3 linked regions of the Schizosaccharomyces pombe genome follow. The protein of the gene in region 3 interacts with the protein of the main gene of each other region in a pairwise test. Each region holds a gene or a part of one and is shown on either strand. Other genes may lie near its edges.

The links. Proteins that work in one complex are often made in the same cells at the same time.
Region 1: the proteins of nta1 (region 3) and rrp41 interact in a two-hybrid assay, tested with the Schizosaccharomyces pombe proteins (one large-scale study listed by BioGRID).
Region 2: the proteins of nta1 (region 3) and aru1 interact in a two-hybrid assay, tested with the Schizosaccharomyces pombe proteins (one large-scale study listed by BioGRID).

The regions. Positions count from the first base shown.
Region 1 is NC_003424.3:3,159,777-3,166,909, reverse strand, and holds rrp41 (exosome 3'-5' phosphorolytic exoribonuclease Rrp41), read right to left. Parts: upstream 3,784-7,133; 5' UTR 3,690-3,783; coding exon 3,687-3,689; exon of another isoform or gene 3,639-3,686; coding exon 3,599-3,638; exon of another isoform or gene 3,488-3,598; coding exon 2,802-3,487; 3' UTR 2,556-2,801; downstream 1-2,555. Other genes in the region: tif211 (translation initiation factor eIF2 alpha subunit), read right to left, coding at 1-45, 152-322, 385-454; ppt2 (holo-[acyl-carrier-protein] synthase new8), read left to right, coding at 4,056-4,240, 4,299-4,387, 4,467-4,591; pdc201 (pyruvate decarboxylase), read right to left, coding at 4,968-6,680. UniProt on the Schizosaccharomyces pombe protein: Non-catalytic component of the RNA exosome complex which has 3'->5' exoribonuclease activity and participates in a multitude of cellular RNA processing and degradation events.
Region 2 is NC_003424.3:1,940,926-1,947,923, reverse strand, and holds aru1 (arginase Aru1), read right to left. Parts: upstream 3,746-6,998; 5' UTR 3,694-3,745; coding exon 2,722-3,693; 3' UTR 2,556-2,721; downstream 1-2,555. Other genes in the region: vacuolar amino acid transmembrane transporter Avt3, read left to right, coding at 1-129, 170-864, 913-1,105; SPOM_SPAC3H1.08C (uncharacterized protein), read left to right, coding at 1,823-2,031, 2,072-2,498; SPOM_SPAC3H1.06C (transporter), read left to right, coding at 5,138-6,907.
Region 3 is NC_003423.3:3,837,070-3,847,177, forward strand, and holds nta1 (protein N-terminal amidase nta1), read right to left. Parts: upstream 6,700-10,108; 5' UTR 6,680-6,699; coding exon 6,538-6,679; exon of another isoform or gene 6,492-6,537; coding exon 5,773-6,491; 3' UTR 5,691-5,772; downstream 1-5,690. Other genes in the region: splicing factor Cxr1, read right to left, coding at 1-195; rrp2 (DNA translocase/ SUMO-targeted ubiquitin ligase E3), read left to right, coding at 2,568-5,690; U3 snoRNP-associated protein Utp10, read right to left, coding at 7,378-10,108. UniProt on the Schizosaccharomyces pombe protein: Deamidates N-terminal Asn and Gln. Component of a targeting complex in the N-end rule pathway.

The DNA of each region.
Region 1 (7,133 bases), on a different chromosome or scaffold from region 3:
CAACATCCTCAGGGCTAACACGGCGCTTTGAAAGATCGATGTATCCTTAATCCTGGTTAGTACATTCCTAACAACTTATAAACCTTTTTTCCCCTTTTGTTTTTCTTTTTTTTAAAAAAAAAAAAAAAAAAAACTACTAATAAATTCTTACCTTTTTCCTTGTCGACACGTAAGACCACGACGACTTCATTACGACCAACGCGAATATGCTTTTGTACTGAACGAATACGACGTCTGGAAAGCTCAGAGAGCAAAACCATTCCTTCAATATTATCGTATTCCAACAATTTTACATAAGCGCCCATCTCCTGGATTTGACGAACTATTGGAAATATTAGCCATTACCGTTTCTTTAGACAGACAACATGTGCATTTTTTACATACCGTTGACAACAACGAGTTCATCCACTTCCGGGAAGCGATTCTCGTACATTCTGCAGCTTGTCGTCGACATTTTTGCAAAGTGTTGAGTGTTTGGTTCTGAGTAAAAATTTGTGTGGACTACCCACTTCTAAACTCTAGGGGCCAATTTTGCTTCTTTTCAGAACCCAGACATTGGTCATTTTAACTTAACTGTTTATCAATAATTATTCTTTATATTTAAAAAGTTTCCTTAAAGAAGATTTATTAGTATCTAAAAGCACATAACGATCGGTGATAACTGGCTTACCAGCCGAACGCTGAATAAACTAGCAGTAAAGTATTTAATAAACTAAAGTGTTTAATAAACTACTAGTTTACTACATCGTTTAGAATTACAGATAATATACTTAAACTTTCTTTTCCCTCAAACGAAAATTACAATTGGAAAGTTTACGAATAGAAGACTCTGTCTAATTGATTCCACTTGTTCCTTTGACTAGAGTAAAGAATTATTTTATTGAAAAGTTGTTAATCCATTGCCTTACAAACCATCCATCACCGTTTTTTGGATTACAAAAAAAAGTGAGAACTCGTATTAATGAAATTCAAAAGGTTATCAATGCCAAACTCAAGAATAGTTGAGGAAATGTGTTTTCAACAGTCTTTGAATATAAACTATTACAAACAAACTTTTTTTTTTCAATGCGCTTCTCGTAGATACATTGAATCAAGAATGCATCTAAACTTAGTAAAGACAACCAGTTGAATATGTCTTTTATATAAATATAAAAGTTCTTTAACACTTGTTCATGAAAATGAACAAGATGTGGTACTAATTTGTGAATTGTATTTCATTTTTTGTCTGTTGTGGGATGTCCTCCATTCCGATTCGTACCTGGTCAATACAAGAATTGCGCTGTAACGAAAGTACTCATCTAGTACCTAGAATGAGAAAAGCCGCTTTAAATTAATTACAAGTATTTTCCAAATATGTTAATATAAAAAGAAGCAAATCATCAACAAAAAAAGATGAGCCTACAGCACCCCGGATTCCCATGTTGTCTCCAACCATAGTACTAACGAGGCCCTCAGACGCTTAACTGCAGTGATCGGACGGGAACTGGTGTTTTCGCCTAGGTATGGCCGTAGACGTTTAAATAGTATATTTATAACATGTATAAGCAATAAGTTTTTGAAGGCAAAGATAGAAAGCATTTAGGGAAACTGATGTATTCAATCAAACTGATAAAATTAAAAACTGTTGAAGGCATATTTCAGTATGCTGTCTAGTAAAAACAATTGAAAACAATAAAACGTACAAAACTTAAATCAGGCCGCGATGAACTGGTATGTATATAATTGCCAGATATTTGCGCAACGGTATTCTTGACAGTGCTATGAAAGCATCAAAAACAGAAAGGGGAAACTTAGTCATGCAGTTTGACGAAGTTTCATTTTTACTTTGGTTGAACGGCACGAGATTCCTCATTTTTAAAACGAAGGTAATATTAACTGTTGATCCTACAGCGATTCTTCCATTTTATTAATCAAGATGTCCTTGAAATCAGCAATCAACTAGTAACGGCAGAATTTGAGTATGTATATTCGATGAATTGTGAGAAACCCTATTTACAAGAATATGCATTAATAAGTATCTTAGTATACTCATTTTGTAGCTTTCAATGCTTATTAGAAAGGCCGATCTGTGATCGAAAAATATAAAAACTGCTCCGGCAGTGACTCGAACACTGGACCTCCTGTTTACGAGACAGGCGCTCTACCACTGAGCTACAAGAGCTACTGTTAGTTTGCACCATTATAGAAATATATAAAATAAAAATACTGTGTTTTTCATATTTTAACATTAACAAATTTAACATTTATCTCGAAAAACAGTTTTACGATTCTCATAATAAACCTTAGGTTTCTTATATCTAAAAATCTAAAAAAATATATATATATATATATATTTTCTTTTTAATCCACATCAATCTGTAATATCTGTTGAATGAAAAATTCCCGGTTGTTTATGAAAGCCTCCCCCAAAAAATAATCAATTTATTATAATAAGTGAGATCTGAATAACCGAATTTATTCATAAAATCTTCAACTAATTAATGAGCCTTTTTTGATGCATAATATCTACAGTACAATCCATATTTTTTGTAATATAAGCCCCTTTAGACAAAAAAGGGACGCAATCATTAAAAGATTATATACGATATTCGAGGTGATTTTTTTGATACTTATACAGAAATACCAAGGATAAGGACAAAAACGTTGTACTAGGAATAAAATGAGTAAAGCTGTATACGTTTTGTCAGAATATCGTAGAGCTAAGTAAAGTTGCAATTGTGATGACTTATCAATGTATAATTATAAAAATTAATCTTCCCGTTCATTTATTTTTAATAGTTTTTTTCCCCAAAATTTTGTCATTAGCTGAGACTTGCAAGTGCCGGTTTAGCGCTTTGTCGAACCGCACTTTGCATCGTGTTATAAATATGTTCTGATCCAGCGATCGCCATATTCATTACTGACTCCAAATAATCCAAATGCATACTAGTTTCCAGCTGCATATATACGACCTTTTTTATGTTCCCCAAAACAGCAACCGTCAACCATGAAAGAGCTGACTCCTCTAGTGAGTTTAAATCCAACAGCATATCAGACTCAACAATCCCAGCTGTACTACAGCAAACGAAATCTTTAACTGGTATACCAGCATCTATTAAGGCAAGAGTAGTAGCGTTGATACAAGATGCCATTACTGCACCATCATCTTGTAAAACATGCAAGTAGACAGAAATTTGACTTCTGGGATATAATTCTGTTTGAATTATCTCCTCAAATGTATTTTGTAAAGCTAAACATTGCAATTGAATTCTCCTATCCGATTTAAATCTCTTTTTCACATCTATTGTGCTGAAAGAAGCAATGTTTATTTCGACATTCACAAATGTTCTGTCAGCTCTAGCTTTGGACTTTATTACAGGCTCCGAGGGTCCATCGACTATACACAAGACCTTTGTGTTACCCAATTCAATAAACGCCGACCCATTCTCCGAAGGCTCGATTCCAATACGACACTGAAAGTTTCTCATCTCATCCCACCGTCGACCATCTTGCAACAAATATTAGCACACAGAAAGATTAATACATTTTATAAGAATCATAGATGTTTGAATGTAAATTTTAAGTTTCTTTTTCATTTCCCATAAATGAATTGGCTTACCATTTCGAAGACCTTCAAGGGATAAAATCTCAAAGTGTGACTATATGGTTAGTACTCGTATTATCTAGAGATAAATTCTATCTCTTACCATATGAAATTTTTTTTTTCGTGATTGAAAGGATTACAAATATATAATTTTTGGTTCCCTTTGAACACTTTTGTAACTGGGAGTGAGTAGAGAGTACACTTGTTACAGTAAAAACTCCTGCTACTGCATTCGCTACGAAACGAATTGGATTTGATGTCTTTGGGGGCACTAATCGATAATGAATTAGATAAATTTATTTCATTTTATTTAAGGATAAAGATTTTTATATCTCGTTTAGTGTGTCGGAAATTTAGTTTACAATATATTATTAATTAAGCGTTCAAAATTATTGAAGCCATAGATTTCTTTTTTTCTTCTTGCATTACCATTAATATTTCCTGTTCATGTTATAAAGAATCAAAAATCGAAATGGGTTTAGGGATTGACATTTTAAAAATTTCAAGAATCTCAAGATTAATTCAACGCTCTCCTGAATGGGAAAAGAACTTTTTAAAAAAATGTCTGTGTGAAAATGAAATTAAAAAGTACAACCTGATTAAAAGCAATTCCTCGCTGCCTCGTTTAAGCGAACAGGCTAAATGGCTTGCTGTTAGGTATGCTTGTCTATATTTATGATCGTTTCATAGTTTTAACGGTTATTTTCCTATGTAGATGGTGCGTCAAAGAAGCTGTTTTCAAAGCTTTACAACCGAATTTTCGAGTTTACATGTCTATGATGGAGTATGTTCGAACTCCCACAGGTGTGTCATTTGTTTTCCATGTTCAATGTTTAAAAATAAAAGGTTTGTAAAGTTACTGACTTTGTTATGATTAATATAGGCTACCCTTCCGTTGTTATTCATGATCCCCGATTTCCGCTTTCTCCCGTAATGGTATCTGTAAGCCATGAGGAAGATTTGGTTGTAGCGAATGCTTTGTATCTACCATCTATGCCAAAGACATAGACGAGAGACCAAATTGAAGGTACTATATTATTTAGTGATTCTATTGCTGCTACTCATTACCAGTCGTCTCAATGACCTTTTTTTATGTTATTGAGTTTATACTAACAGGGAATTATCTGGACAAGTCTACCTTGGAGTAAGGGGATGCAAAAAGAAAAAAAAAATAAATCATTCAATGAATCCTAATTACCAACAAAAAAACAACCGCTGCATAAACTTCAATATATTCATTCATTTTATGAAAGAAATATGGATTGACGTAGAAAAAAAAAACGACTGTTGCAAATTAACTAACCTAACAAAAGCATCATTTGAGAAATATTGTAAATTTCAAAATCAAAAACATATCATAATAATATAGCCATAGCCATATTTTTTACTGCTTGTTAAGAGAAGCGGTAAGTTTGGCTTGCTCAATCAAAACACGAGGAGCATCCAAGACAGGCATATGAACTTCAACGAGCTGAATTACATCAGCTTTTCCAAATTCCTCATCTTTAAAGAGATCGAGGAGCTCCTTTTCTGAATGAATGTTATAGGAGCGAGAATTTTTGGCACCATAGCCTTTAAGAAGGTTTTGATAGTCCCATTCAGTGTTGATGTCGTTGTAAACAGCGTGAAGACCGTGAATGAGACGTTCAATTGTATATCCCTTATTGTTAATTACAAATATGATAGGGGTGAGACCGTTACGGATGGTAGCAGAAATTTCCTGAACAGTTAAATGAAGGGAACCGTCACCAACAATCAATATGGAACGACGGTGAGGAGCATCGGAATCCTTGATGCCCAACGTAGCACCAAACATAGCGCCAACCGACCAACCAATTGAGCCCCATAATACCTGTGAGAGATTTTGGCAGCCTTTGGGGAAAATGCAATCCAAAATACCAAAGTTGGAGGTACCTGTCTCGGTAGTCACTACATCGGACTCACGAAGAAAAGAGGCAAACGTAGGCCAGAACCATTTGTGGGTAATGGTTCCTTCGGCGTAACCCTCAGCAGCAACAGCCTTTGGTGGCTCAAAGTGAACAGGACGGGCCTTTGCCTGAACGGACTTTTTGTCAATGGCAGCGGTGAGCTTGGGCAACAAATGTTTCATCGAAATGCCCTCGTAAACGCCAGAACGAATTTTGGTGTAGTCGGAATGAAATTCGATGGTTTGAGATGCAGGGGTAGCATAAGTAAAGGTGCCCGAGTTGAAATCGGAGCGAAGACCACCGATGATGAGAAGCAAGTCAGTAGATTCGGCACGTTCTTTGATGGAAGGCTCGGTCAAGGAGCCAATGTAGACGCCATCAAAGTAGGGGGATGACTCATTGATCGCAGTCTTACCCATGGGAGTAACGTAAGTGGGGAAATGGGTCGCATCAATAAAGTCTTGGGTTTCCTGTTGAATGTGGAAGCGGGAAACACAAGCGTCAACGAGGATAGAAGGGTTCTTGGATTTTTCGATCAATTCGAGAATCTCAGAAACCACCTCGTGCTCAATCTCCTTGTTGTTTTCGGGAACAGGGAAAACCAATGGAGTCTTCAAGGGAGAAGCATCCGTGTAGAAGTAGCCGGCGTCCGAAGGAACGGCCAGATAAACGGGTCTTGAAGTGCGAACGCACGTTTCCAACAGGTTGTCGATGAGACGACCGGCAGAGTCACCGCTATCCAGGAAGGCGACATCGGCAGACAACTCGGAGGACATACGCTGGAAGACTTTAAAGTCACCATTTCCCAGTGTGTGATGAAGAAGGGGACGAGTGGCTTGAGCCTTGGTGTTGGGAACACCGACAATGTGAACGACAGGAATACGTTCAGAGTATGCGCCGGCGAAACCGTTGAGTGCGGAAAGTTCACCGACGCCAAAAGTGGTGACGATGGCAGAAATGCCCTTAACACGAGCATAAGCATCAGCGGCATAAGCACCGTTTAGCTCGTTTTCATTACCGACCCAGCGAAACGTTTCGTCGCCCACTTTCTCAATCAAATCGAGCAAAGCCAAGTTAAAGTCGCCGGGTACACCGAGGATGGATTTGATGCCCAATTGCAGCAAACGGGTGAAAAGGTATTCACCAACGAGGACTTTTTCGGAAGACATGATACAGGAGTACAACAAAACACGCTACTTAAACAAGACAAGCAAGCAAGTAAGAAGAGCAAAAGGATAGAATGAAAAAGAGAAGGAGAAGAGAAGAGAATAGAGGTGAAAAGAAGAGAAAAGATTGGTCAAAGGAAATGAAAAAGCTCAACAAAGAAAGAGGAGGAATGATACAAGGATCTCAAAAGCAAGTCAAACAAACAAATTTGGGTTTATTAAAAAAAAAAAAAAAAAAGTATAGTATAGTATAGTATAGTATAGTATAGTATAGTATGTGATAAACAAAGGAAATATACAGAGCACAGTAAGATGAATTAATTCCTTTGATATAGATGAGAGAGAGGTTTTAAGTTTGTTTCTTTCTTAACTAAAAAGAATAATAAAAATATGTATGAAACGTGAAAAATTGTTTTAAAGACGAATGAAATGACAGCAACCGCCTCTCCTTTTATA
Region 2 (6,998 bases), on a different chromosome or scaffold from region 3:
TCTCATATTTGCTTCTTACTTCTCATTCAGACTCGAATGAAGGTACCTGGAAGTTTTGGTGATATTGGGGGAACTTTATATGGTCCTCATATGCGATTTGCTATTCTTGCTTCTATCGTGGTTTCACAGGTAAGTTTTTAAATTTAAATATTTTACTAAATGCATTAAGATTGGATTTTCGAGTGCTTATATTTCGTTTGTTGCTAGCACATTACAAGCATGTGTAAAAGTTATATCCACTACTCACCGAGAATACCATTTAGCTGTTTTCATTTTTATTCAGTTTTTGGTATTTGTCCCTCTATCGCTCGTTCGCAAGATATCAAAACTTTCTGCTACTGCTTTAATTGCTGATGTTTTTATTTTGCTAGGGATATTATATTTGTATTTCTGGGACGTGATTACGCTAGCCACTAAAGGAATAGCCGATGTTGCAATGTTTAACAAAACTGATTTTAGTTTATTTATTGGTGTTGCCATTTTTACTTACGAAGGAATTTGTTTGATATTGCCTATCCAAGAACAGATGGCTAAACCAAAGAATTTACCTAAGCTCCTCACAGGTGTGATGGCAGCGATCTCTCTCTTGTTTATTTCTATTGGGTTGCTGTCTTACGCTGCTTTTGGTTCAAAGGTCAAAACGGTGGTTATTTTGAATATGCCAGAGAGTACTTTCACCGTTATTATCCAATTCTTGTATGCTATTGCAATTTTGCTTAGTACCCCATTGCAATTGTTTCCTGCAATTGCTATCATTGAACAGGGAATTTTCACTAGAAGCGGTAAAAGAAACAGAAAAATTAAATGGAGGAAGAATTATCTTCGTGTCTTAATTGTTATTCTAGCTATCCTAATATCTTGGGCGTACGTTTTTCCTTTTTTTTTTTATTTCTTCATTTGCTAACAATTTAGTGGATCTTCACGTCTTGATTTATTTGTAAGTATGGTAGGTAGCGTCTGTTGCATACCGCTTATCTATATGTATCCGCCGATGCTACATTATAAGGCTTGTGCAAATAATTGGATTTTACGTACTCTTGATATTTTTATGTTTACTATTGGTGCCTTCGCAATGGCTTTCACTACGTACATGACATTTTTTTAGGATTTTCACTCGTACGATTTTATATTTATAGGTGGTCTCCATTGATCCTTATGCATTTCATATTACTTTTGGAATTTTTTTTTTCAAAATTTTACATATTTCCTCTAGACTTAATTATTAACGGGTTTACACTGCAAACGCTTTTTCAGTGGGACACTAAATAATATTTATTAATTACTATATAAGATACGTCGAATATTTTACAGATACCGAAAACTATTTGAGGCTTAGGATTAAGAAAATCGTATTTTTAACATTGAGAAAGAAGTTTGTTTAATATTGTACATTTTATTTTTACGCAATTTCAGCATCCACAATCTTATTTGTTAGCGTACATTTGGTGCTGGTGTAAATGCTATATTAAAGACTGGCCCGCTAAAATTTAAAGCAAGTTGGTTTACCTTAGTCATAATTTGTGAAGAATAATCATGGAAATAAAACCCAATTTAAATCGTTTAAAAAATTATTATTTAATATACATATATATTTCTTTTATTTTTAGAGACTAAAATATTCATTAGTCCGCCTTATTTTACCATATCAGAAACACCAAAACCTCTAAATTATCACCACCGAACGTAGTAGTATAAAGATTGATTTTCTTCAAATGCAATTGTCTGCTTCTTTAACATAATTTACTTTTTTTGACGTATCTTTTCTCAAATCGCCCATGAATATTGAATCGTTCCTTAGAATTTACAAATAAAAAAGGAACAAATGATTATTCGGAAACAAATTTTCCCATTTCTAAGTCAAAATAGACCTTGGACGATTATTAATAGAATCCAATCCGAAAGATATTCTGCATCTTATGAACCAAGCCCTGAATTGCTTAAACAGTCTTCCAGAAGACTAGAGCAGGCTGGTTATTCTGTAAAAAATGCAGAAACAATTACTAATTTGATGAGGACCATTACTGGAGAGGCGTAAGTAAAAAGTTTAAGAGCTTTCCAACTAACGTTATAGGCTTACAGAGTTAGAGAAAAATATAGGATTTAAAGCTAAGCAGGAATCTGTGTCGTTCCAGCAAAAAAGAACATTTTTACAAATTCGGAAGTATTTGGAGACGATTGAGGAAAATGAATTTGATAAAGTTAGGAAAAGCTCTGATAAACTTATTAACGAAATTGAAAAAACCAAGAGTTCTCTCCGCGAAGACGTTAAAACCGCTTTGTCTGAAGTCAGATTGAATTTAAACCTTGAAAAAGGACGTATGAAAGATGCCGCAACGTCTAGAAACACAAATATTCACGAAAATGAAACGAAAATTCTCAATGAAGTGGATATTTTACACAAAGAAATTAATGACATGAAAATACAAACCAATCAATGGTTCACCGGTTTCGTTGGAGTCGTATCCTCCGTTGTACTGATTATTTTGTTTTACTTTTAGTGATTATCCTTAATAAAAATGTTTACGTGATAATATGCTTTTACTCAACTTCAGTAATCAGATCAAAAAACTTGTTAATACCTAAGTCAATTCTATTTAAACGGTTAAACAATAGTAACGTTATTTATATTTTTTCCCTTAATTCCACATAAAAAGAATGCACTCTTCGTCCCGTCAGCTCATGAAAATCAATATTCGTTTTATATATTGATAAATTGTAATTTTAAAGTAAAGTTTGACCAAGACTAGTACGAACGATAGAGCGGGCCAAGTCCACCGTAGTCTTGGCCTCCTCTTCATTACCAAGTAGTGGATTAACCTCCATAACATCAACAGCAACCAATGTACCGGATTCAGCTACAGCTTCGCAGATGTACATTGCCTCACGGAAAGTCAAACCGCCTGGAACACGGGTACCAGTGGCTGGGGCAACGATGGGATCGCAAGCGTCAACATCGAAGGAAAGATGGACAGGTCGTCTCTTACCAGGATTGATGTGCTCCATCGCCATCTCAACGACACGGCCAATTCCGTATTTGTCGACGTGGTGCATGGTATAAGCGGCTATGTTACGCTCACGAAGAAAAGCGCGCTCCATAGGATCTAAATCACGCAATCCAATAAAAGCCAGACGACGCTCTTCAATAACTCTCTTGGTCCAAGCAAACTCTTCAGGGAGAGGCTCGGCGTATCCTAAAGAAAATGACAAGGGGCAACCATGAAGATTTTTAGAAGGAGAAGATTCAGGAGTGTTAATGTCAGCGTGAGCGTCAATCCACAAGACACAGGCATCATCATAAACGGCCTGCACACCCTCCACAGTACCAATGGCAAGAGAATGATCACCGCCAATGTTGACAACAACTCTTTGCTGTTCTAATTCACGTTGGACAGCATCACGAACTTGACGAGTAACATTGCTAACGTATAAAGGGTTTTTCATTAAAGCCTGGTTGGGACCCTCCTTGGAAGGACGACTTTTAAATTCGGGGTTTTGGATGAGCTTGACATCGTATCCAAGGTGTTCCAAATCATCCACAAGGCCAGCCTTTTCAACCATTTCGGGAGCCAACTCTGCACCGTCCTTGGGCTGGCCACCAGAGAAAGGCATGTTTATGATGGAAACACCATTTCCCATCATAAATCTACTTAACATCAAATGACGGTGGTTATCACTAATTTTATGAGGAGACATTTTTTTTATTTTCGAGTACTTTTCAATAAGAAGAGAAAGAATGGCATATACTAAAGACAAGTTCAAAAACGGAATGAAAATTAATATACTTGCTCTTTCTTAAGTCCGTGGAGGCCACCCAGAAATATTAGCGAATCTCATTCGCAGGTTATATCAGAGTAATTCCGCGTTGTAAAATTTTCACTAAGGTAACATGTTCTTCACCTTTATTTCACTATCTTCTTTATCTTTCTCGATAAAGGGAAGGTTCGTTCTTTGTTTAGTAGTGATATGGCAGATCTAAAGTTATCTATTTTTCTTCTTATGAATGTATTGTGAGCTAGATATGCAGGTTTTCAGGCCTCTCCTACTGCTTAAATCATGCTTAGATCCTTGGGGGTCGGGTGTTGAAATTTCAACAGTCGGAATAATCGCTTGTAACTTTGATGTTTTGCAGTAGCTGTCGTTTTTTTTTTTCTTAAAGTCTTCCTAATGGCTGTGCATTGCCCAGTTATTTTCCGATGTCCCAGTGCGATTCTTAAACTAAAAGAACGTTTTAATATCGAGTTTCAATACAAAGGGAAATTTGTATAATAGTTCATACGTTACATACTACTTGCATACTTATAGCAACTATAGCTTTATTTTTACTGCTTTCTTTTATCATCTCTTTTGCAGGTTAACGTTAGCTCTTTTTTGTTTAACCATTATAGTATTGCATTGCTTCTAGGTTTCTCCTAAGAAACTTGCTTAAAGATTGAATACTGAAATTTGCTTTGTTTATAGTCAAATCAAAATACCTCATTTTTTGTAAATTTTTTCAGTCAACCTAACAATCAATAATAGTCTGTCTCTTCGCTACTGTCACTTTACGATCGAACTCAGCTCGTTCACACTATGCAGCATCGTTGTTTCTCTCTTTCTGTTTACTGAACCTTACTGCATGTTCTAAAATTTGTTTAATTGTGGCTGTTCCAAACAAAAGTGTATACGGAGTTATCATTCAGAAATCATGCCAAAGTCATAGTCAGGATGCTCAAATACTCATCCCTTTGATGCTCAACTAGGGTTGCCTTTGTCTTTGTGCACTTCCTTTATACTGTTGTGCATGGACTTTATCTATGTGCTGCCACTAGGCATTCTAGTTCAGCCTGATGCGTGCTTCCTCGGAATCTCCTATCTTTGTAAATCGTCAAAAAGTTCCATTGTAAATTAATATAACAATGCGTCCGTTTCCATTTAAAAACTATTCAAGCACTATAGCTGCTATGTGAATGTTGTTTTTCATCCTTTAATTTCTTCATTTGTTATATTTCTAATCAAGAGTGTCATTATATTGCATTACTTTAATTTTTCTTGCATTCCTTACTATTTTCTTTTTGAATTTTACTTCATTTCGTTTTGCATTTTGTAATTGTGAACCCCTTTCTTTACAATTGCATTTGTCTCTCAGCTCCAAGATATTATGAACCCTTCGTCTTCTCCAAATCGTAGCTTGAATCCGACTAGAGGATTGAATCTCTATAGCACAGGGAATGAGGTAACATGGTTCTCTTCCACCGTTGATGAGGTGAACGAGCTAAAGCCTGCAAAATCAAAAGCCTTTTCTATTTCAGCCCAAGATCAAATTTATGGTACTAGTTCTCTAAAGTCTCGGTTTTCAACCCATGAAGCATCGTCTGAGAAAGATGATTCTTCCGATTTCACCCTCGTGTTGCCCTCCAATCGAATGTACATCGTTATTCCAGGACTTATGTTGTCGATTTTCCTGTCCGCCTTGGACCAAACTGTCATTACTACAGCTATTCCCACTATTGTAGCAAATCTCGATGGCGGTTCATCGTATTCGTGGATTGGTACTGCTTATACTTTGGCTCAAACTTCAATTCTTCCATTTTGTGGTATCATGAGTGAAGTAGTCGGTAGGAAAATTGTCCTCTATACTTCCATTGTTCTTTTCCTCTTCGGTAGTGCCATGTGTGGTGCTGCCCAAAATATGCTTTGGCTTGTACTATGCCGTGCTGTGCAGGGCATCGGCGGTGGAGGCATTACATCTCTAGTTACAATCGTTATAGCTGACATTACTCCTTTACAGACTAGACCTTACTACACAGGTTGTATGGGAGTCACCTGGGGCCTTGCTTCTGTCATGGGTCCTTTAATCGGTGGTGCAATTTCGCAAAAGGCTAGTTGGCGGTGGATTTTCTTCATTAATCTACCTACTGGTGGTCTTTCGCTCGCACTTTTGATTTTTTTCCTCAATCTTGTACCCAAGCCTACAGTTTCGTTTCGCGTGTTTTTACGTGATTTTGACTTTGTGGGCATTATTACCATTACGACTGGTGTTGTGTTGTTTTTAGTTGGTTTGAATATTGGATCTACAACAGGTCATTGGGCCCATGCCAATGTCTTGTGCTATTTAATTTTTGGTATCCTGTGCATTGCCGGTTTTGTTGTCAATGAATTCTATACTACCCGTACTAGAATTATTACTCCCTCGGCATTTAAAACGCTCTCTTTAACATCTGTAATGGTAACATCCTTTTTACATTATTATATTGTCTCAACAATTACTTACTACATCCCAGTATACTTCCAAAACATTAAAGGTGACGGGCCCTTGATGTCTGGCGTTCACACATTATCTCTAGCGGTTGTATCCTCACTTCTTTCTGCTGTTAGTGGTATGGGAATAGGAAAGTTGAAAAATTATCGATATCCAATGATTGGAGGATGGATAGTTTTATTAGCTGGTACCGGTAGTATGATTGCGATATATTATAACACGGACATATCACGTACCATGGGATTCTTGGCTTTGACAGCAGTCGGAACTGGAAATCTATTTCAACCAAATCTCATTGCTGTTCAAGCTTCTGTACCTCCTGCTTTGATAGCGACTTCCTGTTCTGCATTTATGCTGCTAAGAAATATGGGTGCATCTGTGGGAATATCGATGGGAGCGGTAATCTATGATCAGCAACTAACGACACTTTTAAAAGGAACGAAGTATTCTGCAGGGCTATCATACTCTCAAATTGCTTCAATTCCCAACGTAAGCGAAAAGAACTTTGTATTCAATGCCTATGCTAATGCCATTCGTATGATTTGGATTGTAAATTGTCCAGTTGCAGGAGTAGGAATGCTTTTGTCGTTTTTTACAAAGCAAGAGAAGTTATCTCAAAGCGTCACGGAGTACAAAGAAAAGGATAAGGGATTCAAAGATGCTCCTTAAAAACCGTTCTTTTTTTTTAAACCTTTGTGGAAAAATCACTAGACAACCGGTTATCAATTTTTACTTTTTGCTATATTGAAATTATAGCACT
Region 3 (10,108 bases):
TGGAGAAATCGGATCTTGAGATTGTACGGGTTCATCATTTGATTTATAATCATTGTCCACTTCTTGGTCATCTTGTTCATTGAAGGAGTTATCTTTAACCAAAGTATCCGTATTAGCTGGTTGTTGGCTTTGTTCGTCTATCGAATTATGCGATTCCTTGGGTAAAATTTCAGACTCAGTCGGTGAGGAAGACATTTTAAAAATTTTAGCAATTAATAAAAGAGTGGATTATACTAGAAACCAAAAAAAATCGACACACTATGCTCACGGTAGAGACAGAAGGCTGAACTAAGTTAGATGAAAGTTTCGACAATGGATATTTGTGAAGATGAAACAATGAATAAATCGCCAAAAGGACTAATTATCACCACAAAAATGAGATGATGTACTGTGTATACAAAACACAAACTCTTAAAATAACTTTGGTGAGTTAACGGAAATAACTTATACGGTTAGTTGTCCAAGAAAAAGTACAAACTGGATTGTAGTCGATCAAACACAAAGTGAAATGAACGAAGGTAGAGAAAATTATTAGTTGGTACTAGGCCAATTAGTTAACTCAACGATCCAAACGTAAAAAAATATGAATCAAAGTTAAGTAGTAAGTCTTCGATAACTGATAAAGAGTCTAGAAGAAATTCAAATAATAAATTAGGAGTTTCCAAAAAAAAGAGGTGTCTTTAATAAAAAAAAATCTAATTCAAGGAAAAAAAACTTTTCAATGTTTAATTGCAAACGAATTATCAGTTAATGATAATATATTAAATTAATTGAAAAGTCAACTCAAAAGTGAAAATGTATGCTTGTAAAATGCACACAATATGCAATGTCTAAAGGAAAACGGAAGAGAAAGTTCAATTTAAACGGCAGAAGGAATAACAACGATACTTGGGTATCGCTGAACGCAGAAACGAAAAACGAATATAGCAATTAACGTAAACACGAGAGTCTACTGCAATCAAAATAACAGCAATTGCGCTTTAAACCTACGAGCAAAAAGAAAGAGAAGAAAATATTAAAATAAAAGACCTCAAAAAAAAAAAAAAGCGAAATGCTAACTTCAAAATCAAAATGCAATTTTTAACTCAAATTTGACGCAATTCCCTCGATATTACTTTCTATATGTAGCTCAATTAAAATATAAGAAAATGAGAAATAATATAAGCACAAGGACAAAGGAAACAAAGGAATTGTTCAAATACGGGGTTTCGATGTTGTAGCGTAGGTAAGTTGACTTATCTATCAGCACATTGTTAGGCAATCTATTTATGCAATTATAAATTATTGATTTTTTTAAGGTTTTTCATTTACATAAGTATTTTTTTGAATTTTATTTGTGCAACCATGTTATTAATTATGTCTTTTGAATTTCTTTTCTTATGCAGTTTTGGATTCCTGCGCAGGGTTCCATCGCTTCAGTCATAGTAGTAAAATGAGGTAAATGATTTACGTTGCTTGAAATGTGCAGATCCTACGGATGCGTCATATGGTGCTGGCAAAAGAAAAATGCGAATTTGTAGGTTTAGAGACAGCTTAAATTTTGCTTTCACCGTTTCCATTAATTCTATAAACTTTCATTTTTCATACAGTTGTTTGTCTTTGTATCCACCTGGCTAAATACATTAGAGGTTAAGCGCCAACACTCAGTCATATAAATATTGAATAGTAAGCCGCTAAAGAGAATTCAAGCGACACTACTTGATCAATTTTTAATGAAAGATACCATTATAAATTTAGAAATACAAATAATAATAGTTTTGAAATTTGGTTCTGCTATCAATACCTACGCATTGCACTTTAAAGACAAAGTAATTAGGAAAAAGGTAATGAATATTTTTAATTTAAAAAAAAAAAAAAAAAAAAAAAAAAGAAATTTAGGTATTAAGTAAAGCCATATAGCTTAAAATGCATGGGTATGTAACAGTATTCATATAGATTAGTTGAATTTAGGGGGAAACAACTTTAGAAGAAAGTAGAACATATAAAAACATTAATTAAAATATTTGTTTATTAAAACAATTTACAGCTGCTTTGATACTGCACGGACGATGCTTAAGCTATTTGAAACGTTTAATTAGAAAATTTGCAAAATGCTGCTTGGGAAACTAAGCAAGAAACATCAAAAATTTTTAAAATCGCTTTTAATACTACAATGACAAATTAGAACTGGGTTAAAAATGCTCTCAATTTATTTATTTATTCCGTCCATTTTCATCTCGCTACTAACATTTTTCAAGGATTTAAAAGTTTCACAGTTCTGTTTTTATAAAATATGTATACAGATGACTCTTCAATACCCCTTTGATTTCTTTCAGGTTTACTGATCAGCATTTTTATAAAACTCTCCCAAAACAGAAATTATTATAATAAGAATTTTTTATGATTTAAAAAATTTAATTTCTTTCCTTCCATTTCGAATGATCACAAATTCATGTACACATTTACCCTTGTTAACTTACATTTGGTACTTATTCTAAACTTTTGGGGCGACTGAGTATCACCACACCAGTTTGCCTACCTAAAATTACACACTACATTTTAAACACAAAGCATTTTTTTGCTAATTTATGAGAAATAATACAGCTTTTGAACAATTTACGTTAAATCCATGTGAACAAATACCTTTAGATGACAAACATAACATTGGGTTCAATAAAAATAATACCCCGGACTATTCTTCTTCTGCATCGTCTGACCAATTGTTAAAAAATGATATAAACAGACATGAAATGGAAAGGAGAATTGCTTTTCTTAATCGAAAACAGGCGCTATTCAATGCCTTTATGCATGATTCATCGTCCTCTTTAAATACGATGGAATCTAACATAGAAAAAGTGAATGGCCTTTTTCCTAATGACAATAGTGTGATTGCATTAAAGCCTAATGAAGAGAAGCTGAACAGTTCTCTTTCCGTTGAAAATAATGATTCTACTTACACGGATGCCACTTTAATTGCTCCTAAAATTGGGCTTGATCGTCCAAACATCAATGCAATTACTATTGATGTTGATGGCCACTCTTTGCAAAACGAAATTAGTTCTTCAACAGATAAGCTTAGTCCGAGTCAATCTGATGCACTTTTTGAACAAAAACAGGACTCTTTGTTTTGGAACGACAATGCTGTGATTGTCGTATCTGACTCTGAATCCGATGATAATAATGTTCGGACGAAATCTTCACTGAACGACCATGATAAAGTTAATATGAAGGAAAAAAGGAATTTAGAGCTTGCGTTTATGAATTCGAAAAGGAAAAAACTAGAGTTACCTTCGTTACCAGTTTTATCTACGGCTGGACCTTCTTATACCAATTCTTTAGCTCTTCCTCCTTTTCATCATCATAATAATTATAAGATGTTTAACACAACTCACACTTTAGAAGATGATAAGTTTCTTCAAGGAAAAGGAACTTCTAATAATCCGATCTCTTTATCAGACGAAGAAGATAACGAAATTAATTTTCAGAATAAGCGTTATGGCTCGGATTCAGTCATTCTTCCGGGTGGTTTGTTGCATGATTCCAAGCTACCCGAACCTGGTAAACACTTATTCCACCTTCAATGGTATCACGATAGATTTCACAATATTGAAGGATTCAATTTGTCAGACTCAAATAACCAGAAAGTTCAAGATGATCAGCAACAACAGTTGGAGGAGTTGTTCAAAGATCTTGATGAGCAGCTTGTCAACGATCCAACAATTCGCGAAGGTACACCTGCTGGACTAATACCTACATTAATGGAACACCAAAAGGAAGGACTAATGTGGTTAAAAAGATTAGAAGAAAGCTCTAAGAAAGGAGGGATTTTGGCAGATGATATGGGTCTAGGAAAAACTGTCCAGGCTCTTGCATTGCTAGTAACAAGGCCTCCAGAATCTAAATCAGTTAAAACAACTCTGATTATCACCCCTGTGTCGCTATTACAGCAATGGCATAATGAAATACTTACTAAAATTGCTCCCTCACATAGACCCACTGTTTATATTCATCACGGAAGTTCGAAAAAGCACAAAATTGCTGAACAATTGATGTCGTATGACATTGTTTTGACTACTTATAATGTCATCGCTTACGAGTTTAAAAACAAAATGGCTTATGACAAGAGTATCGAAGATAACGCTCCAATAAAAAAATTTGAACACCTTCCATTTTTTGAAGCAGAGTGGTATCGAGTTATATTGGATGAAGCTCAAACTATCAAAAACAGGAATACGTTAGCTGCTCGTGGATGCTGTCTATTAGAATCAACTTATCGTTGGTGTTTGAGTGGTACCCCTATGCAGAATGGGGTTGAGGAGTTCTACAGCTTGATAAAATTTCTGAGGATTAAACCTTATTCAGACTGGTCAAGTTTTTCAAAGGACTTTACCATTCCTTTAAGTAGCAATATAAACACGTCCGCTCCTATGAAGCGCTTTCGTGGCTTATTAAAAGCAGTGCTACTTCGTAGAACGAAAAATACAAAGATTGATGGCAAGCCAATATTGACACTTCCTCCAAAAACCGCCGTCAAATCTGAAACAGACCTCTCTTCTTCTGAGATGGAATTTTACAATACGCTTCAAAGCGGAGCACAAATTCAAATGCGTAAATATCTTCAAGAAGGGACTATAACTACGCATTACGGTAGTCTACTAGTATTACTTTTGAGACTTCGACAGGCTTGTTGTCATCCCTGGCTAATTGTTGCTCGAGAAGCAGCGGTTGATGATAACGATAGCTTTCAAGCTAAGAATCGTGCAATCTACAACCAAATATATCCCGAGGCTGTCAATCGCCTTAAGTTAATTGAAACGTTGCAATGCTCCTTATGTATGGATGTTGTTGCAGAACTTTTGATAATTGTGCCTTGCGGTCATTTTCTATGTAGAGAGTGCTTAACCCATGTTATTACATCCAGTGAGGATATGGCTAAGCAAACAAGCAACGAAAATATTTCTCCTAAGTGCTCAGTTTGCGAGGAGTACATCGATACTGAAAGGCTTTTGAGTTACGCATTATTTAGACGATATTCTGGAATGGCACCTATTGTCGATGCCGATAACAAATTAAGAACAGAAAACATTTCCGAATTGCTACCTAAACAGTATAGTAATATCTTAGAGAATAGACAAATGGGTATGAAGATCTTTACGGATCCTAAACATTGGACCACTTCTACAAAAATTGAAAAAGCATTAAATGCAGTTAAAGAAATCATCAAGAAACAGCCAACTGACAAAATTTTAATATTTTCACAGTTTGTTTCTTTTCTTGAGCTTTTTACGGTACCCTTTCGACAAGAGGGTATAAAATATCTTATGTATACTGGTGGTCTAAGCACAGCGGAAAGAAATCAAGCTCTTATTAATTTTGAAGTTGATCCGAACGTGAGAGTTTTACTGATCTCTTTAAAAGCAGGAAATGTCGGGTTAAACTTGACTTGTGCAAATCATGTCATCATACTCGATCCATTTTGGAATCCTTATATCGAAGAACAGGCTGTCGATCGAGCACATAGAATTGGACAAGATAAACCGGTAAATATTTTACGAATTGTTACTAATAACACGATTGAAGAGCGAGTTTTAGCCTTACAAGACAGAAAGAGAGAACTAATAGATAGCGCTTTAGGGGAAAAAGGGCTTAGAGAAATTTCACGTCTGAATACAAAGGAGTTGTCATTTTTATTTGGAATGTCATCACGATAATAGAAATTTAACAGGCTTATTAAAACCAATATGTATTATATAATATGTTTTCATGAATAGAAATAAAAAACGTCGCACATCTTTATTTTTCAAGTTCTCCAACTACAATTCCATTCTCAGCAGCTTTCAAGACACCATGTAAGATAGCTCTTCCTTGAGAAAGTTCCATAATACAAGAGGTACCGGAAAAATTTAAATCATTCTCCTTTCCCCACCGATTTGCTACAAGAACGATTGCATCCGTATTCGAATTTATTAACGGTGAAAGTCTAGTGGTCCAGTAATGTAAATTTTTGATGTCGGGCAGGGAAGCATCAATGACTTTATCATCTGACACAAGCCATGCCATACTTAAACAAATAATTGGTCGTGATACATTCGAAGAAACCATTTGTTGATGCTCTAGCTCACGCAAAATGAAGTTTGCATATTCAAACTTCTCAAAAGGAGCTTTAAAATCATACGGGTTAATGTCCATACAAATTGCCATTGAAATAGGGCCCAGTTCAGGAATACAGGGTTCAAAAGAGAAACCCTTGCCTTCAGTGGCCCATGATTTGTCTGTTTCAAAAAGAAAGTGCTTGTGGTAAACGTTCAACAACTCTTTTTTGGGAGAAATGAGAGCTGTACTATTGTAAAGAGTAGAAATGCCGTTTGAGTTTTGAAACTCAGGAAATCCAATGATGGTGTAGCACCGATATTGCTCAGAGACTTCTTGAGCAAATTGAATGCTTGGACAATGATTGCTAGTTACGTTTTCTAAAAAGGGTTGTATACTTTCTGAATTTTTAAAATTGTAGCCTACAGGAAAGTTAGCTAACTCTTCTTAATAATAAAGACCACCCACCAGTTAAGCACATTTCAGGGAAAACCAATAGCTTAACAGACTGTAATGCTTCAGAATGTTGATCCAAAAGCTGGCGAAGATGAACGATGTTTTCGTTCACCTTTCCCAACTTGGGAAAAAATTGTACACATCCAAACTTCATTAGTACTGTCGTTGCTGTTTAAAAGGATGCACTAGTAGTACAAACAAATTTTAAATTGAGAAGTGTTGACCGTTTTTATGACATCGAAGTGGCAAACTCTTAAACAAGTCCTTAGCGAGGCTTTTTTTTACCAATTCGATAGATAAATGGAATTAGAATTTTATCTCTTGTATATAAAAGACCGACAAGAAACTGGCCAAATCACCATTTCCTAGACAAAAACTGACTTAAGCAAATTTAAAGACGTATGCCGTTCCACTAGATTACTGCTATGTAGGATGATTGCACTTTACGAAGTCGCTCAGATATACAATATTTCGATACTTCAATGAAATTTACTGGGTTTTAATACACTGGTTTAAACTTCAAAATTATTTTGCTGCTGTCAAACATTTGTAAACTGCAAAAATTTCTCTCTTAATTTATAGTATTATGAAACCGAAACCAACCAAACTATTTATAATCCCAAGATAATTGAGAATTGATGAATACAACCCTAAAGGTCATTGATGAGAAGACCCATTATGGATTGCAATCAACATGATCGTCTTTTCCTTTTTTTTTGGCAGGGATTAGACGAAAGCGTATATATTCATAACGAATCAATAATTATTTTTTTTAGAATGAAAAATTTAGAAAACGAAAGATTCCGTTTAAAACTCAGCCTGTGAAAAACGGACCCACAACCTCTACAATCCTTATGTAAGGTAATCTTGGAGGGATTCATTCTCACCGAGACGGTCATCTATTATCCGCACGAGCTCAGCCGTAGCAGTTTCAACCTGATCATCATCATCTTCCATTAGTTCAGCAATAAATGGTACTGATTGAGGCAATGTAGAAATCCAATTCTCACCAAGGCGCCCGTAAAGCTGTGTCTGTATTTGGATAGCTAATAAGCGAGCATTGATGTTGGAGGATCGAAGATATTGCAACAACTGAGTATTCATTGATCTAAAGTTGTCGCTTGATGAGGCTACACTAGCCAGTTCGACAATAGCTTTTACTAGGACCTTGTCATCAAGCAAAGGAGCATATTGTATTTGTTCAATTAGAACGGGGCTTATTTTACCAAAACGTGCGGGCACCATCCAAAACTCCTCAGTGTCGTTTTCAAAAGCACTAACGAGACTACTGTTCACTAGATGACGAACTTCACTATTCGTATCTTTCGATGAAAGCAATTCAATCGTGTCATCCAAAACGTAAGCATAATAGTTAGTAACAATGGATTTTAAAGTATCAAGGAAAATGGTTAAAAAGTTGTAAAAAAAAGTTTGCCGAGATACTATTCCAGATGGATCAGTTTCGTACAAATCTTCCAATGCCCATGAATGCAAATGTAAAAACAAAGGACGGAAAGTTGTATCACTCAACTTCATCACGAATTTCAGAAATACATTAACTGCTTGAGTTTCCACATTATCAACGTCTTCCGCAAATAAAAGCGACCGCCTACTGTCAAAGGAATCCAAGAAAAATTTGAATATTGACTTATAAACAGTCCCAATAGCGCTCCTGCTAGAATTTTGTAATGCCAATTCAATCAACTCTAAAAGACGGAGTGCCGCAGTAGAACCAAGTCTTGCACATTCAGGCCATGCCGCAAATATAGATTTCATCAACAATCTAGTAGGTATAAAATTGGCAATTGTTTCAAATAAAAGCTCACCAATAGCATCATGTTCAAACGCACGATCAGAAGCTAAAGCGCATTTTATTGTCGGCTCGACATAACTGCTGCTAAACTCCGGTAATACTTTGAAAAAGTCGATCATCATAGAGAAACATGCTAGCTCTAATAAATCGCCTTCCGGATCTTTTCTAGCATCATCTAAAATAGATAAAGAATAATTAACTATATCGGCCAAGTAAGGCAAGATGCGAGCAGCAAGAGTATTGGTCAAGACGGTGATACATACTATGGCAGATACCTGTACATCACGTGCACTATTCTTTAATCCGTAGGGACCTGAAACCACCTCAATAGGGGAAATAAACAGTTCAGGACTCGCACTAAATCGCTTGGCCATAACAGCAAGACAATCCATAGCTAACTGAGTCGTTTCTTCATCAGAATAGTTGGATATATTGTAAGTAACATCAGGAATTAACGCTGTTAATGCAGACACTTTAGATCCCTGCTGTACCCTTTGTTGTACAATCGACAAAGCTTTACGGCGTAGTAAGGCACGTTCATCATGAAGAAGTTTACCGAGGACAGTACAAAATAATTCATTAGGTAGCAGATGTATCACACTACGTAATGCCACATATACGTGCCCCAACTCCATTTCGTTAGAGCTTTGCTGGCTGAGTGTAATAAGCAATTTTATCGATTCAAACAAACCTGCTTGAATTTCGACAAATGAATCAACAGAATTCTCCATTATCTTCGCCAAATCAAAAGCAAAATTTTTAGCCTTAGACACAAGTGAAATTAACTCCAAAACTTTTACTCGTAATGACCCGAGAGTCGCTAAATCCACATCCATTGGAAGTTCATCAAGTTTTATCAAGCTGACAGCTTTGCCATTTGAGTCTGAATTAGATTGCTCCTCAAGGGATTTTAAGCAGAATCTTGAACATTGATTGATCGATCCAATACGATCAGCAACAGAGAAAGATTGCACAAGTGTTAAGCAGAAGTCATGTATAGCAACAACATTCGTAGATTTGGCCAGCAACATTTTTTCAGCAAACTGTATTAAAACAACGGATAAAAATCTATTTGATCCAATTGTCTGCAAAACTAAACGATAAAGTCGAAGTCGGCGATGTTGAGGGATGTGAGGGAACGCATTCACAAAACATGATACCAGCAAGGAAGAGTCAAAATCCTTACCTAATCTTATTAGTGCAGATATAACAGTTTTGACAGTCTGTTCAATGACATGGATGGAAAATGCATCGTCTCTTGATAAGACAGTACTACCCATAAAAGTAAATATCGGCATAACACCATGTAAAACAGCTTCAGGAGCAGCATTCGCTAGAGCACTAACAAGTAACAATGCCTTATTTTGAATCTGTGGATTATTGGTAGAACGAATACAACCCACTAAGGTATCGATTCTAATGGAGGGTGACAGTTCAGTAATCGGTGAGGCTCCTATCATCTCATATAACAATCCTAGAAGTAGCTGAAGCAAATAATTTGATGAAACAATATCCTCTTTCAAAGCGATAACGCTATTGAGAACTTCGAATAATGGAGAAGCCAACTTTGGATATGAAGCAGCATTTTTTGTCTCCAAAAGCTCTAAAATACGAGTAAGCCTTTGGACATCCCCATCAAATATGTGGCTATCAATGCGTTTGCGTTTGGCAATTGCAGGATTCTTTTCCTTAACCAAGCGGACGCTTCCAATAAGCTTTTTGAAAACAGTGTCAGGAATCTTTATTGAGTCGAGAACATCAACGTAATAG